2 linked regions of the Drosophila melanogaster genome follow. The protein of the gene in region 1 interacts with the protein of each later gene in a pairwise test. Each region holds a gene or a part of one and is shown in the gene's direction. Other genes may lie near its edges.

The links. The genes of interacting proteins can lie anywhere in the genome.
Region 2: the proteins of Vtld (region 1) and CG13699 interact in a two-hybrid assay, tested with the Drosophila melanogaster proteins (one large-scale study listed by BioGRID).

What each region holds. Positions count from the first base shown.
Region 1 is NT_037436.4:19,757,276-19,762,966, forward strand, and holds Vtld (viral tegument-like deubiquitinase), read left to right. Parts: upstream 1-3,133; 5' UTR 3,134-3,555; coding exon 3,556-4,362; 3' UTR 4,363-4,542; downstream 4,543-5,691. Other genes in the region: Gyc76C (guanylyl cyclase at 76C), read right to left, coding at 261-326, 450-647, 788-955.
Region 2 is NT_037436.4:18,158,116-18,165,341, reverse strand, and holds the start of CG13699 (uncharacterized protein), read left to right. Parts: upstream 1-2,819; 5' UTR 2,820-3,035; intron 3,036-5,285; 5' UTR 5,286-5,375; coding exon 5,376-5,473; intron 5,474-5,715; coding exon 5,716-6,586; intron 6,587-6,764; coding exon 6,765-7,226.

The sequences.
Region 1 (5,691 bases):
GTATTCTCACTACCCATTTCTTCTGGCAAAACATTGCATTGTTTTTCTCTTGCGGGCGTTCGTACTCTTCTTTTGTCCTTCTCATTCTGGCGTTTGTTGTCCCCGGTTTGAGGATAATCCGAGGCTAAATGGCTGTGCCTGTCGAGACTCAAAGCCACCGCAAGGAAGGCCACCCCGACCCGCCTCCTCGTCTCGTCTCGTCTTGAACCCAACCACCCACACATCCATCCATCCACCTGTTGCTCCCGGCTCTTGCTCACCTGTGTATCTGGCGGCTCGGTGCGGGCGAATGTCGGTATGGCGGATGCACGGTACTCTGCACATTTCTGTTGAAAGGGGGAAAACGAAAAGAAATAAGAACTTCACTTGCATGAAAAATGTGGTGCGTGAAATTGTCTGCACCCGCCGCTGCGGGGAGGCGTCATAAGTCAGGAGCTTAAAATACATACGTAGGAAATCATTGGAATGTTTCGACTCTGCGAGACGATGGCCTCCACATAGCAAGGTCCTTCCGGGCCAAAAATGGTGGCGATGCCATCGCATATCATCTCGGTGATGGCCTTGGTGGCCAGTACCGTGTCCCCCTTGGTGTCATTCCAGCGCAGATCCAGGTACACATTTGGCAGAAGATTGGGATCTTTGTTGACCTGTTTCCGGAACGAAAACGAAAGACTTTCAATAACAATTCTATCTAAAAAAAAAAAGGTACAACTTTGATGACGCAGTTTGAATACTATCGAGTTCAGATATTTGCTATTATTACAAATAAATCGAAGCTAGTACTTACCTCATCCAGGGCCATAGTCAGGGCACCGGAAATGGCCAGTCCCTGACGCGTCTTGAGATCGCCAGTGAGGGCCGTTAGGTAGCCGACAGTGAGGACGGTGCGATGATTGCTACAGTCGCGTACCGCCACCGACAGCAAGAGTAGTAGATTAAAGGGCCAACGCGTCATGGCCCCTTAGGCCGGGGCCGTTCAGCGCGACGCCTATGGGTCCCAACGGATTCTCACACTGCAATGATGGGAACGGAGAAGAAGGATCAGTTGAGAGTAGGACCAGAGACAGGAGCAGAAGCGTTGCGCGAGGAGCAGGACCGAGCCGAAGCTAAGTGAGGACGCAATTGAAACTGCCAAGGACCCCTTTGCATAATAAAAATGCATGTTTGACAAAGGCAAACACAAATAGAAAACAGCATGCTGAACGCATTTCAGACACTTGGCTTGATTCAGACGAAAGAGCTGCAAGGCAGAGAAGCTGGAAAGCAGCTGCAGTCCGACTGCCCAGGACACAGAGAATAAATTATGGCAGGATATAATATTAAAGACTCTAAAATAAATGTATTCTTAAGCAATTACGTTCGAAATTAACATACTATATCAATTCTTAGCTTATTTAAACAACTGCTTTACTCAAAAATACCAAACTAAATTGGGAATCAAGTAGGACGATTATTTTTCTCTGTTTATCAATAAGCTGGAACTGCTGAGTGTCGCAAAGGACGCAAAAGGGAAATGACGCTGGGTGTACTCCAACAGGCAACCGGATGCCAGGCAAGTGCCCACGCAGGGAAATGTCAAATGTTGGAATGTCCAACTTCAATATCGTTGACCACTCGTCCGTCGGCAGCCGAAACGAGCTTAGGAATTTTTTAATTAGGCTGTTCAGTTCTTTGCCATGGGAATTGGGAGCGAATCACTGATAAGTAGCTTATCAGCTACTGCAGAGGCCTTTTTCCACCAAGGAATGCCATATACATTCGTACATATGTATCCTCCGGAATGGAGGCCCATAATGCGGAGCGCACAGCTTGTTATTATTAATTATGCATGCGTTGATTTTGCCATTATGCAATTTCGTTTGAGGCATTAAATATATATATCGCCGGCGATTTCGTTTCAGACATATGTTTGTTATTATCCCTGTCCACGCCAACACAATCCCTCCCCACAGCATTGTCCTGATTGTTTGCGCTAAAGCGAAAGCTTATTCCATGGGATTGGATTACTCAACTGTTCGGTCGGATGATGGCGTTCATCCCTGTTTGTCTTTTTTTTTTTTTTTAACAGGCTCACGTGTAAGTTTAATTAAAAGAATAAAAGAAATGCGAAAGCCAGTATATAACGGAATGTAGGGCAACTATTTGATTATAGTTAATTTAAAAAAAAGTTGCCACAAACGACTGGGACATCGGTTAACTGTGGAGCACATTAAATTTCCAGCAATAGAACATAAAATTGATTAATATCGAATTGCTTTGAAAAGCCATAAGCTGAGTTTAATTAAAAGCAAAACCAATCCTTAAGACATGATAAGAGACTTAGGAAAACCTTAGGAATTCACAAATTTTCCTGATAATTTCAAACAAATATTCACGAGGAATTCAAAGTGTAGCCACTTAGACGCGGGTAATCTTTAGAGCACCCCAATCTCAATCAACAAAATGCTCAAGCAGCCAGCCATAAATTTGCATTTTCGACACACTTCGCAAACCATATTTGTTTTTGTTTTTTAAGCTGTATATTCTTCAATGTTGCAATTTAAAATTAGAACTACTTGGCTGGGCTAGCTAAATTTGGGCGCCACTGATAAATATTTGCGCACCATTTTGACACAATGCGAAACGCGTTTCCAAGAATGGCATTTGAATACATTTATGTGTGGCTAAGGCGGAAATCGTCTTTCCTAGAATCTAGATTAGCAGATCTTCTTGTTTAATACGTATATAGATTGGTCTATAAACAACCTATTTAAGTTAAAAAATACTTAAGTCGGTATCATGGATGTAAATAGCTGTTGCGCTGAAGTAGACAAAATCTAAAAACCATTTCAATTTCATTGATGAGTTTTTAACTAAGCTAATTGAAAAACTCTGAATGTACTCCTTTAGCATAGTAAGGTGTAATGCTCACATAGAGCTAGAACACCTTAAAATTTGTTGGAATAATCATATAGTTTCAACTATTACAATTACTTTAAATGTAAAATGGAAATACTATATTCAAGGACCTATAAGAACGTAGCAATACCTTTTCAAATTGCGTCAAATGGGCTCTCATTTTCATAATCAGATCCCCGTAGGTCTGAAATCTCACATCATGTTCGTTATTTGTCAGTTGTTGGTCTAGAAATTTTTGTCTTTCCGACTCGAAAGTTTTCACCTTTACCCGTCGAACGCTCCTCCGGCAAAAGACACTCAAAATTCGATGTTTACTTGAAATCCAAAGCCCGTGCTTAGAGCGTAGTGGAGTGGAGAGGAGTTGCGGCAATCCTGAGCTCGATCCCGAATCCGAGGACATAGTGCTGTTGACGGGTTCGATCACTAGATCCCCACATAAACCACCAACTCTATACCCACACGTGCGCCTTGAAGCCTAGGGGTCATTGCACTTGCGAACTATGTGACAGTGGCACTACGGAAACAGCGCCAGGGCCGGGTTTACCACTGCGTCTCCGGAGCACCAGGATCCGGAAACGCAACCTAAGATTAAGACGTCGCTGAACACAGGATCCGAGGACCAACAACCGATCCCCGGGCGATCAAAAACCCGGCGCCATGGCCATTCACGAGCAGATCGACAACCTGAACATCTGGTGGTTTCCGCGCGACTTCTGTCAGTCGCGATTCGGGGAGTTCCAGCGGAGCGGCACCAACTCCTGCACCATCATTTCCCTAATACTGGCCGACAAGGTGGCCAAGGCGGACAGATTCTATCACAGGGTCTCCGATCTGCCGCTGCGGGGATGGGAGCTCTTCGGCAACGCCATTAACGACGGAAACAGCGTGTACCACAATGTGATTACAACTAATACGCCGCACGCCAGGAATCTCAACCTCAACATTCCGGATGCTATCGCCGCCATTCGGTCGCAGCACAAGATGAACTTCCGGCTGGAGGAGTGGTTTTACACGCACATGGAGGCCGATCCCAGCAATCCCATGTACAACCGGAACGTTGCTGTGCAGTTGTCGCGGGTTTTCCAGATAACACTCCAGATGTTCCAGCACGCCAGCGTGCGAAACAATGTACCCACTAACCTCTTCGCCGCCATCATAGCGGACAGTCGAACGGTGATGGTAACCTTCGATTTCCGAGCCTCGATCGTCGCCCTCTTCGACTCCCACCAACACGGCCGGGATGCGGGAGCCGTCTTCGCCCAGTGCACGCTCGAGAACATGGACGACCTGCTCTTCTGGTTCATCAGCATGTTACACAATGTCTACTCCAGCCGGCCCTCGCTCTTCGAAATCTCCTTCCTCAGCTCTCAGCCGGGGGTGGCCAAGAACATTCCGCCGGCCATCCAAAAAAAGATTGCCGCAGACCTGAAGAAGCCGTTTAAGATGAACATGCCTAAGCACTAATCATGTTGCCAGGTTTACTACAAAGTCGCCAACATCCAAGGACGTCGATCTAGGCGCGGGCCAACCTTTCGGAACCCATTTTTGGGGCTATTTTAGGACAAAATCTCAAGTTTCATATAGCAAAATTTGTGTGTTAAGCGTTTAGAAATTTAATTCAAAATTCTCTGTTGACCATCAACTAATAAATAACGAACTCCAATTTGCATTGTATCCTTAAAGACAGATTTTGCAAGATTTAGCTATATGGTAAGTCTAGTCTGTTCAAGGTTGATACAAGATTGATTTCCGACCCTATAAAGTATAAGTGCAGTCTCTCAATGTCCGTCTGTTTGTTGTCCGTATAATCATCGAAATCTTAGGAGCTATAAACAGTTAGCTGGAACTGCTAAGAAGTAGAAACTTCTTGGTCGTTGAGCTAAGTAACTGGTATCAAAGAGTCGGACAAGAGGACAATAATGTTCTCTATCGTTTAGTTAAAAGTTCTTTAAGGCACGCAGTTAATCGTCGGATTCAAAGAATGAAGACAATATACTTTTGCAAGTCACCTAAACAACTTTCCATGTTGTTATGTACATACATGTGAACGTATGAAAAATTTAACTCCTAATTAATGCTGAACTAAATAATGATATAGAAATTATTTAATTGTGAGCACGTATGTATTTACCTTTCTGTTGATATTTGCCTATTTTCTATTCCTCTTACCTAATTACACTTGAGTAAACAATTAGTTCGGGAGAGCCGAACATCTGTGTGGGGGATTTTATGCATTAGCGGATGTGGGCTGTTTGCTGTTTTGGCCACCCCAGCTAACCGAAAGTCGAGTGGCTTTAATAACAAAGGCGCAAGAGTTAAAGTTGAACTTTGTAACGGGAATCGAGCGACGAGTATGCGGTGCGCGTGTGGCTCTGCCGTATTTTTCTCGACTTCTAATCAAAATGAGTTAAATAAACACATAACGTAACCTATTAAGAACTTAGTACGTGACAACAATTTAAATATTTATAAAGTAAACAGAGAGTGCGAGAGAGAGAGAGAAAGAGAGAGCTAGTGAAGAGGAGAAGGCGAGGGGCAAAGGAGGAGCGTCTAAAAATAGAGCCACATATCAAAGAAAATATGAGAAACAAATCGAAAACCGAGGCGCAAGACGTGATAAAACGTTTAACGTTAAATGTGAAAAGCAGCCGCGGAGAGGCCAAAACAGAGAAATAGACAAAATGAGAGAGGAAATCGCAGAGGGAGAGAGCGTGCAACTGAGTTGTAATCAACAAATAAAGAGCTACAAGTTGTGTAATGTGAAAATATAAAAATCGCGTAGCCGCAACGTGG
Region 2 (7,226 bases), 1.6 Mb from region 1:
TAATCAACGTCTTTTGGCACTTTATTGACAAACTAATAAAAACCCAGGATATCCAAGCTAAAAGGATGTCCAACGAGAGACGAGTAGGTATATGCTAGATGGTAGCAAACGATTTATTAAAATCCCTGTACATGGCATACATAATAAAAAGCAACCAGAAAAGCAGATCCTTGCTGACCGTTGATGTGATGAGTAATTTGCTTTTGGCTTTTAATACTGACCCGGTACACTGTGGAAAAATATGCGTATTTCATTTGAAAATATAATTTTCTGCGCCATAAAAAAAGAAGTAAATTAAACTTTAAAATAGAAATGAAATATTTTTCCTCGTTCGATTTTTTTTAAGAAAGTTCAACACATTTGTTTCGAGTGCATAAAACCGACCAGACAACGAATAGTTGCAGGACACGGAAATTAGTGCGGAAACGCTTACTACGCTTAGCAATCTGTCAAAAAGCCAAAATGTAATAAATGAGACCCGCACGATGCTGGGAAGGGGAAATGCGGGGGGCCATCAACATAATTCATACGACATGCCAGCGCAGGACAAAAGGCTGACCAGCCAAGGACAAAGGCGCCAACTGGGGCCGGGCCGTCTTTTATGGCAGCAGATGTACCATATTTCATTACACGTTGATAAGTGGTCATTTGTCTAGGACCCAGCACGGTCGGAAGAATATGGCTCGAACTGCGCGCAAAGTTCGTTTCCTGCATGCCAACAGGCATTTCATAATAATTTCAACAACCTCTGTACACAAACCTGCAGCCAGGACCCCTTTGATTAAATACAGAGGACCGACTTTCCATTTAAGTCTCTTTACCGCACCGGGAAATATGTATATAAGTTAGCTCACGTGAGATGATGGGTCAGTAAAAACCTTTTTCATTCTATCACGATTATACGCGTCCGTGCACTTCACAATTGGACAAAAGTATGTATAATTATTTACAAAAAATGAAATATTTGAAATTTGTTATATATTATTATTCATAGCGTGCGTGCTTTTTTGTTTTCTTCGATATTTTCAACATATTTATTACATTTAGATTTATTTTTATTAGGCACTCCTAATATCATGATAGTTATATTTTAAGAACCTCTAATGAGCCAAAAATGCAGTAACTAAAAGTGTATATTTAATAAATTTAATATTAACATTAAATATTTTTAACAAAATATAAAATTTTTAAAATTTGTAAGCATTGTTAACCAAATTTTTGTTAGTTCCCTTGTTAGTCCCTAAAAAATGTTATTTTGCACAACTTTGTTGTTTGGTATTACTAAAACTCGAAACAATCCTAACTTTCAAAAAATTGTTGCCTTAAAAAAGGTTTCGTAACTCGATTGGACTTCTTACTGTTTTAATAAGCTTATTATGAATAATTTTTTATAATAATAATTACTAATAATTTTTGACTTTTGATATCATCAATTACAAAGCTAACAACCTTTTTTCGGCATTTTTATTTTGACCAAGCTTGCATCTATGATTGCTGTCTTGGGCTTTACCACAAAAGTAACGTGAGTTGGATGGCAAATCGACGACTCATCGACGACCTTTCATGGTCGGCCAGCACACCCAGATACTCCCACAGGCGGATATAAAAATCCACCGACATGCCGCCATTCATCAATCATGAACCGAAGAAGGCAGTTCGAGCTTTTTGCATAACTCGGCCGAATGTAAACAAATTGCGAGACTGGCGAAAAACAAAAAAAAAAAAGAAGCGTACCGGGTTGAATGACAGACATTGGCACAGATTGTGAGCCATTTGGGAGTCAGTTCAGTTCGGGGAACAGCCCACGATTTTTGGATGATATTTGATTTTGCTTTCGTTTGACCGCCAAATCTGTCCCAATAACAGTCCGTGGATGATGCTGGGTTGGTTACCTCAGCAGCGATAAAAACGTGTAAATTATTATTACCAACAACATGGGATGGTAAAAGAAAGCCATTTTTGGGGGGACTAGAGCAGAAAATTACTCAACTCGAGTCAGTTTCGGTTTCAGTTGGGTTCAGTTTGGCTGTTGGGTCTTGTTAGCTGATTTGCTTGATAGCTGCTTCGCCTGCTCACCAGAGAGCCTCAACTTTCACTCAGACTGGCCGACAATTTGCTGGTCGCCTACCGTCTTTTGGCCCATTATAATTAAGCCATTGTGCTGGCCAACTGCCTCGTTGGTCAATCATTTCTCACTCGAAAAGTGTAACAAATGCGGCAATTAAGCAGATGTAATTGTAATTGATAACGCCGTGTGTAAGTGAGTTGAATGATCTGCTCAGAGTTAAGTACTGAGAAATCGGTTTGGTTAGTGTAATAGTTTAAGTAGTTCGTTAGCCATGTTGCAACAATTTTTTTATGGTTATAAAGCTCAAATACTTAGCTAAATACTGAAAGAGTTCTAATTATACCCTAACATACACTTTTAAATAACTACGTTTAAAAAACTAACTGGATTTTTTTTACTTTTAGCTTTTAGACTATTTGTTATCAACTCAATAAGAGTAGTAACAAAATAAAAAACTCTTACGCCGTAAAAACTGCTAATCTGATCATTGGAACTGCTTTAGTGAAAAACACGCCTAAAGTTCATATTTTAAATGTATATTTTGTTGGAAAAGCCCAACTTTATTTTAACTTTTAACCATTGACCTTCAAAGAGACCCAACTGGTCGAGCTTCTCTGTACTCCCCGTTAACGCTTATCCACCTGGCCAAGTCGAGTGGTAGTGGAGCTCTCTCTCGGCCAGGCCTTAAGACTTCGGATACACACACATACATATCTGCAGAGAAATGGCTTGGTGGCTTTTCTGCGCCGGCGTCGCGTGTCAAACGATCGCCGAACTTAAAGCCGGAAAGACGTCGTCGTCGAATCTGCGTCTCCGCTTGGCTTTTAGCTTTAGTTTTACAACGCTTACGTCCTCCGTTGCGTAGCTTTAGCTCAAAAGTTAACCAGTTTCGAATCGCATTTCGCTTTCAGTTTCGTTTGAGACACGCGGAGAAAAAGAAGCGGCACCGAACACAAAAGTGCAGTGAGTAAGTTGGGAAAAAACCCACGGCGAAAATCGAAACCGAAAGTGTGCAAATCGAAATCAAAAGCCGGGCCCCTAAATAAGCTCCTCAAATGTAGCAATTCAAAAAGCAAACAAAGCATAGCATTTGTGCCTAGAAACGCAACTGGGCAATTTTCGAGTTCAACCAGCCAGGAAGACCGAAAAGAAAGTTGTGGATTGTGGAAAGAAGTGGAAGCAGCAAAGAATTGCGCAAAAATGGCATTACAAAAATCGGTGTCTCATTGAGTGCACAATGAAATGGTTTAAAACAAAATAAATCTCAACATTAAGTTGAGCTAATTTAAAGGAGTTACTTATATTGCATTTATTTGTGAAGTGGAACAAATGAAAACAAAAACAAATTAAATAGTAAATAATAATGCGATATTTTAAAGTTTCAACTGTGTGTCGCTCTAAGAACTTAAATCTGGCTAAAGCTTCCAAAAATATTAACTTCCCCATTCTGATTTAATTTTTTTTTTCTGTGCGAGTCCTTCAATAAGACTCAATTCGAACCTCAGCACGCCTTGGACATTAAAGCTAATTGGTGGGCGTTGGAGCAGGGAGGCGTGTTGAGTGGATTATGTAATTTGACAAGCAGGGGATACTTGCCCAAAGAATTCACAACACGTACGCCATATCCGCATCCGTATCCGTGTTCGTCTTTGCCCGCACAATTTGGAACGCATCTCGAGCGTAAAGTGTCCTTTCGTGTCGCCGCCTTCTCGTTTGGGTGTCGTTGTCAGTGTCCTTCCCCACCCCCCCCACCCCATCGATGTGCATTTTGTGATCCTTGCACCTGCTGCAGTCAGCCGCCCCTTCTAATATTAGCTGCCATTTCTTGTTGTAAACTTCCATTGCCGTCTGCTGTCTTTTGGTTTAGTGCAGCGCCCTCTGGCGCCAGCAAGCGGCAAATGCAGTTTTCTGATACTTCCCCGAATATCCCCGCCATATCCTTCCCCCTCCGGATGGGATCATAAAATTTTTGGCTGCAATTACTGCTGGAAAAGTCTGTTGCCCGTCTCCGTTCGCAATTGCAAGGAATTTAAATTTTATATTCAACAAGACATTTGGCATAGGAGTTGTTTTTATATCGCACAAGCACAAACATAAATAATATATTTTTAACTCGGCACAGATGCTGCGAACACAGTAAGACTTTAACCAAATATTTTCGAAATTTTCTGTGCGTCATCTTTAAAAAGTGCCTTTTTAAAGCGTCTGGTAAAACAACCTTGACTCCCTTTAAATGCAAATGGAAATCGAAGAGCGCTAAATGACGCACTAAACAAGGCGACAAACTGTGCATATTTTATGGTGAAATTTATGGTTTGCAGAAGACTCAAAAGAGTTAAGACCCCCAAATCAATAAGTGTGTCCCAAAAACCAAAGAAATCAATAAGAAAGACAAGATGTTGAGAAAAGTTTTGCTCAAGAACATAAGGCACACTTTCACTGATATTGTAAATACGATATAACAATAAGAATGAAAGTCTATTAGGATAAGTGATTAGTTTTAATATTTGAGCACGACTTTTTTAAGCTCTGCTAGCGCACTCGATTAATAAGTAATTTATAAACATTTAGGCACAGCTTTAACTAAGTCATTTATATGGCTAGATTTTTAACATAAATACAAGTGAACTGCTTTAATTCGAACTTTCTTATTTGCAAGTCTACAACTTATAACTTTATATTAACGAAATAGGACGAACAAAGACCAATCATGGCAATGAGTATATTCACAACCAGACTATTTAGAACTTGGCTATATGCACTCTAGACACTTGTCCCAATAGAAGCCGAGTATAAAAAGAAACCAAATCGCTGTGGGCATTAAACTTTTAGGGCCTGTCAGCGTCCCGCCAAATAAAAGTTGACAATAATCCGAATAATTTTGCTTGGTTCGCCGGGACTGAAGATGATGGTATCCGATTATTTCTGGCGGTCGTGCGGTTGCATAAACACGGCGCAATCATAAAAAACCGAATTAAACAAATGTCGTCGGCAGGGAGAACTCCTTTTGGCGGATAGCACGTGAGAATTGCATTAATATGAATGCAAATGTGCATCCCCGTGGGGTAACAGTGGGTGGTAAATCTATAAATTTATGTGCAAATGTAGCAAGAAAATGTCGAGCAAAAGTCGTCGGAAATTGTGCGAATTCTTTTGTAGTTTGAGTTTGACAGCAAGTTTTTATGATGTTTTCCACCATTCCATTTTCCCGCTTTAGGCGACGTGCGAAGACAGTTTGGCTTGAGCTTATGAATCGCTGACGTGAGCAGCGGGATTTTCCACATTTTCCTCAAACTCCACCCGCAAAATGCAATTGCTATGGGAGCCGCGAAGTGTGCAATGCAAAATTGCAATTCTAATTATCGCATTAGTCGTCAACGTGTCGTGCATAAGAAATGGCAACGGGTAAGTTGATTGAGCTCTCTTGATTATGCAAATAAGCCTCTAAGCTTCTGTTGCAAAGATGCTTCATGTTCTTGTTTTTTTATAACTTATAACTTATAAAAAGTAATAAAATTATAGAAATTTATCATTAAGATAAATAAATAAATAATAAGAAATATTTATAGAATTATATCTTGGCTTTCTGTTTTTAGAGACATTACTATGATATATTAAATTAAATATGCATAACTTTTTTTCCCCAGTGAGGACGAACAGATATCTGTGAAATTGAAAAACTTCTTTCCCTCAGAAGAAGCTTCAGTTGGTCAGAGTTTTCCTGAAACTTCAGCCAGAGTGACAACGGGTGGTGGATTTAGACCCTCGCAAATGCTGGACTTCACGCCCTCCGATGTGATGCCCCAGTCTGGTTACACCCGTTATCCTCCGAGCTATTTGGAACCGAACTACAAGCACGAACTTCCAAGTTCTCTGGGACAGCAGGTGGCATTGGACAAGCAGTTCTCCTTTCCCCAGGACTCGCACTCGATGTTTCAGAGCACACCGCTGCCCACAACGCCGGTAGTTAGCTACCTGGATCCGTACACCCAGCAGAACTATCGCTACACACCCACTCCGCCTTCTATAATTCAATATCAACGTGAGCAGCCAGCCCAAGACGATCAGGCCTATACTGTGCAATCTTCCCTGCTGGTGGGCAGTCACCAACAGCAAAACCACCAGCAGCCGTATCCTGGCCACGTGGAGGATGTTTATCTAAAGCGACCTGGCTACGTCTTCGATGAAAGCCCCGCTCCATCGTATCGACGACCCACAAGGCCACCGCCCTCGCTTCCACCACCGCCCACCACCGCGGCGCACAAAATCTCCTATGATAGCCATGATTACCCACCGCCCAGCTATGCGGCCGAGCAAACTTCCAATTTCGTGCCCCAGCAGCCAAAGCAGCGACCGCTGTACCAACGCCAAGACATCAAGCCAAATCGAGGTGGAGCAGGGGGATCAGGAGGAGCAGGTGGAGCACCACCACCAGGCTCGTCTAATTATGCAAACAACTTCGATAATTATTCGAAGCGGCCAAACCCACAGCAGACACAAATACAGAACCCCAACCAGGTACACCAAGGAAAAATCATATATATTATATAGAGATATGGATAACAAAATATTAATACGATATTTATTTCCAACTAAAAACCAATACATATTGGATTAGTATAAGGGAACTACATATGCGAAAATATTATATAATATTAAGTTTGCAACCCTTAACCAATATTTTTTTATTGTGCAGATTCAGACGCAGTTTGGAAACTATCCGTACAATCCCCAGAATGGAGGAGCAGGAGTTCCTGGGACCGGACTACCCCAGCGGCCCAGGCCGGGACACAATTACTACGAGTACCAAATTGGCGAGATACCACCACCGCAGTCCCAGCACTTCCAGCAGCCGCAGCAGCAGTTCAACTATCGTCCTGCCACTCAGTCACCGGGTGTCGGTGGCTCCGGCGGCGGTGTGGGCGGCGGATTGGCCACCCTGGCCTCGCTGTACGCACCGCAATTTACGAATCTCCTCCTGGGCGGCGGTGGCTCCCCCTCTGCGTCCACGCAGTCGTCCAGTCCATTAGGCAGTCTCCTCGGCGCTTTCGCCGGCGCACAAGGAGGAGCAGGACAGCAATCCGGGGGCCTGGGAGGAAGTCGACCGCCCAACACACAGCTCATTAGGGCACTGGAGAACATCGCTCGCAACGACGAT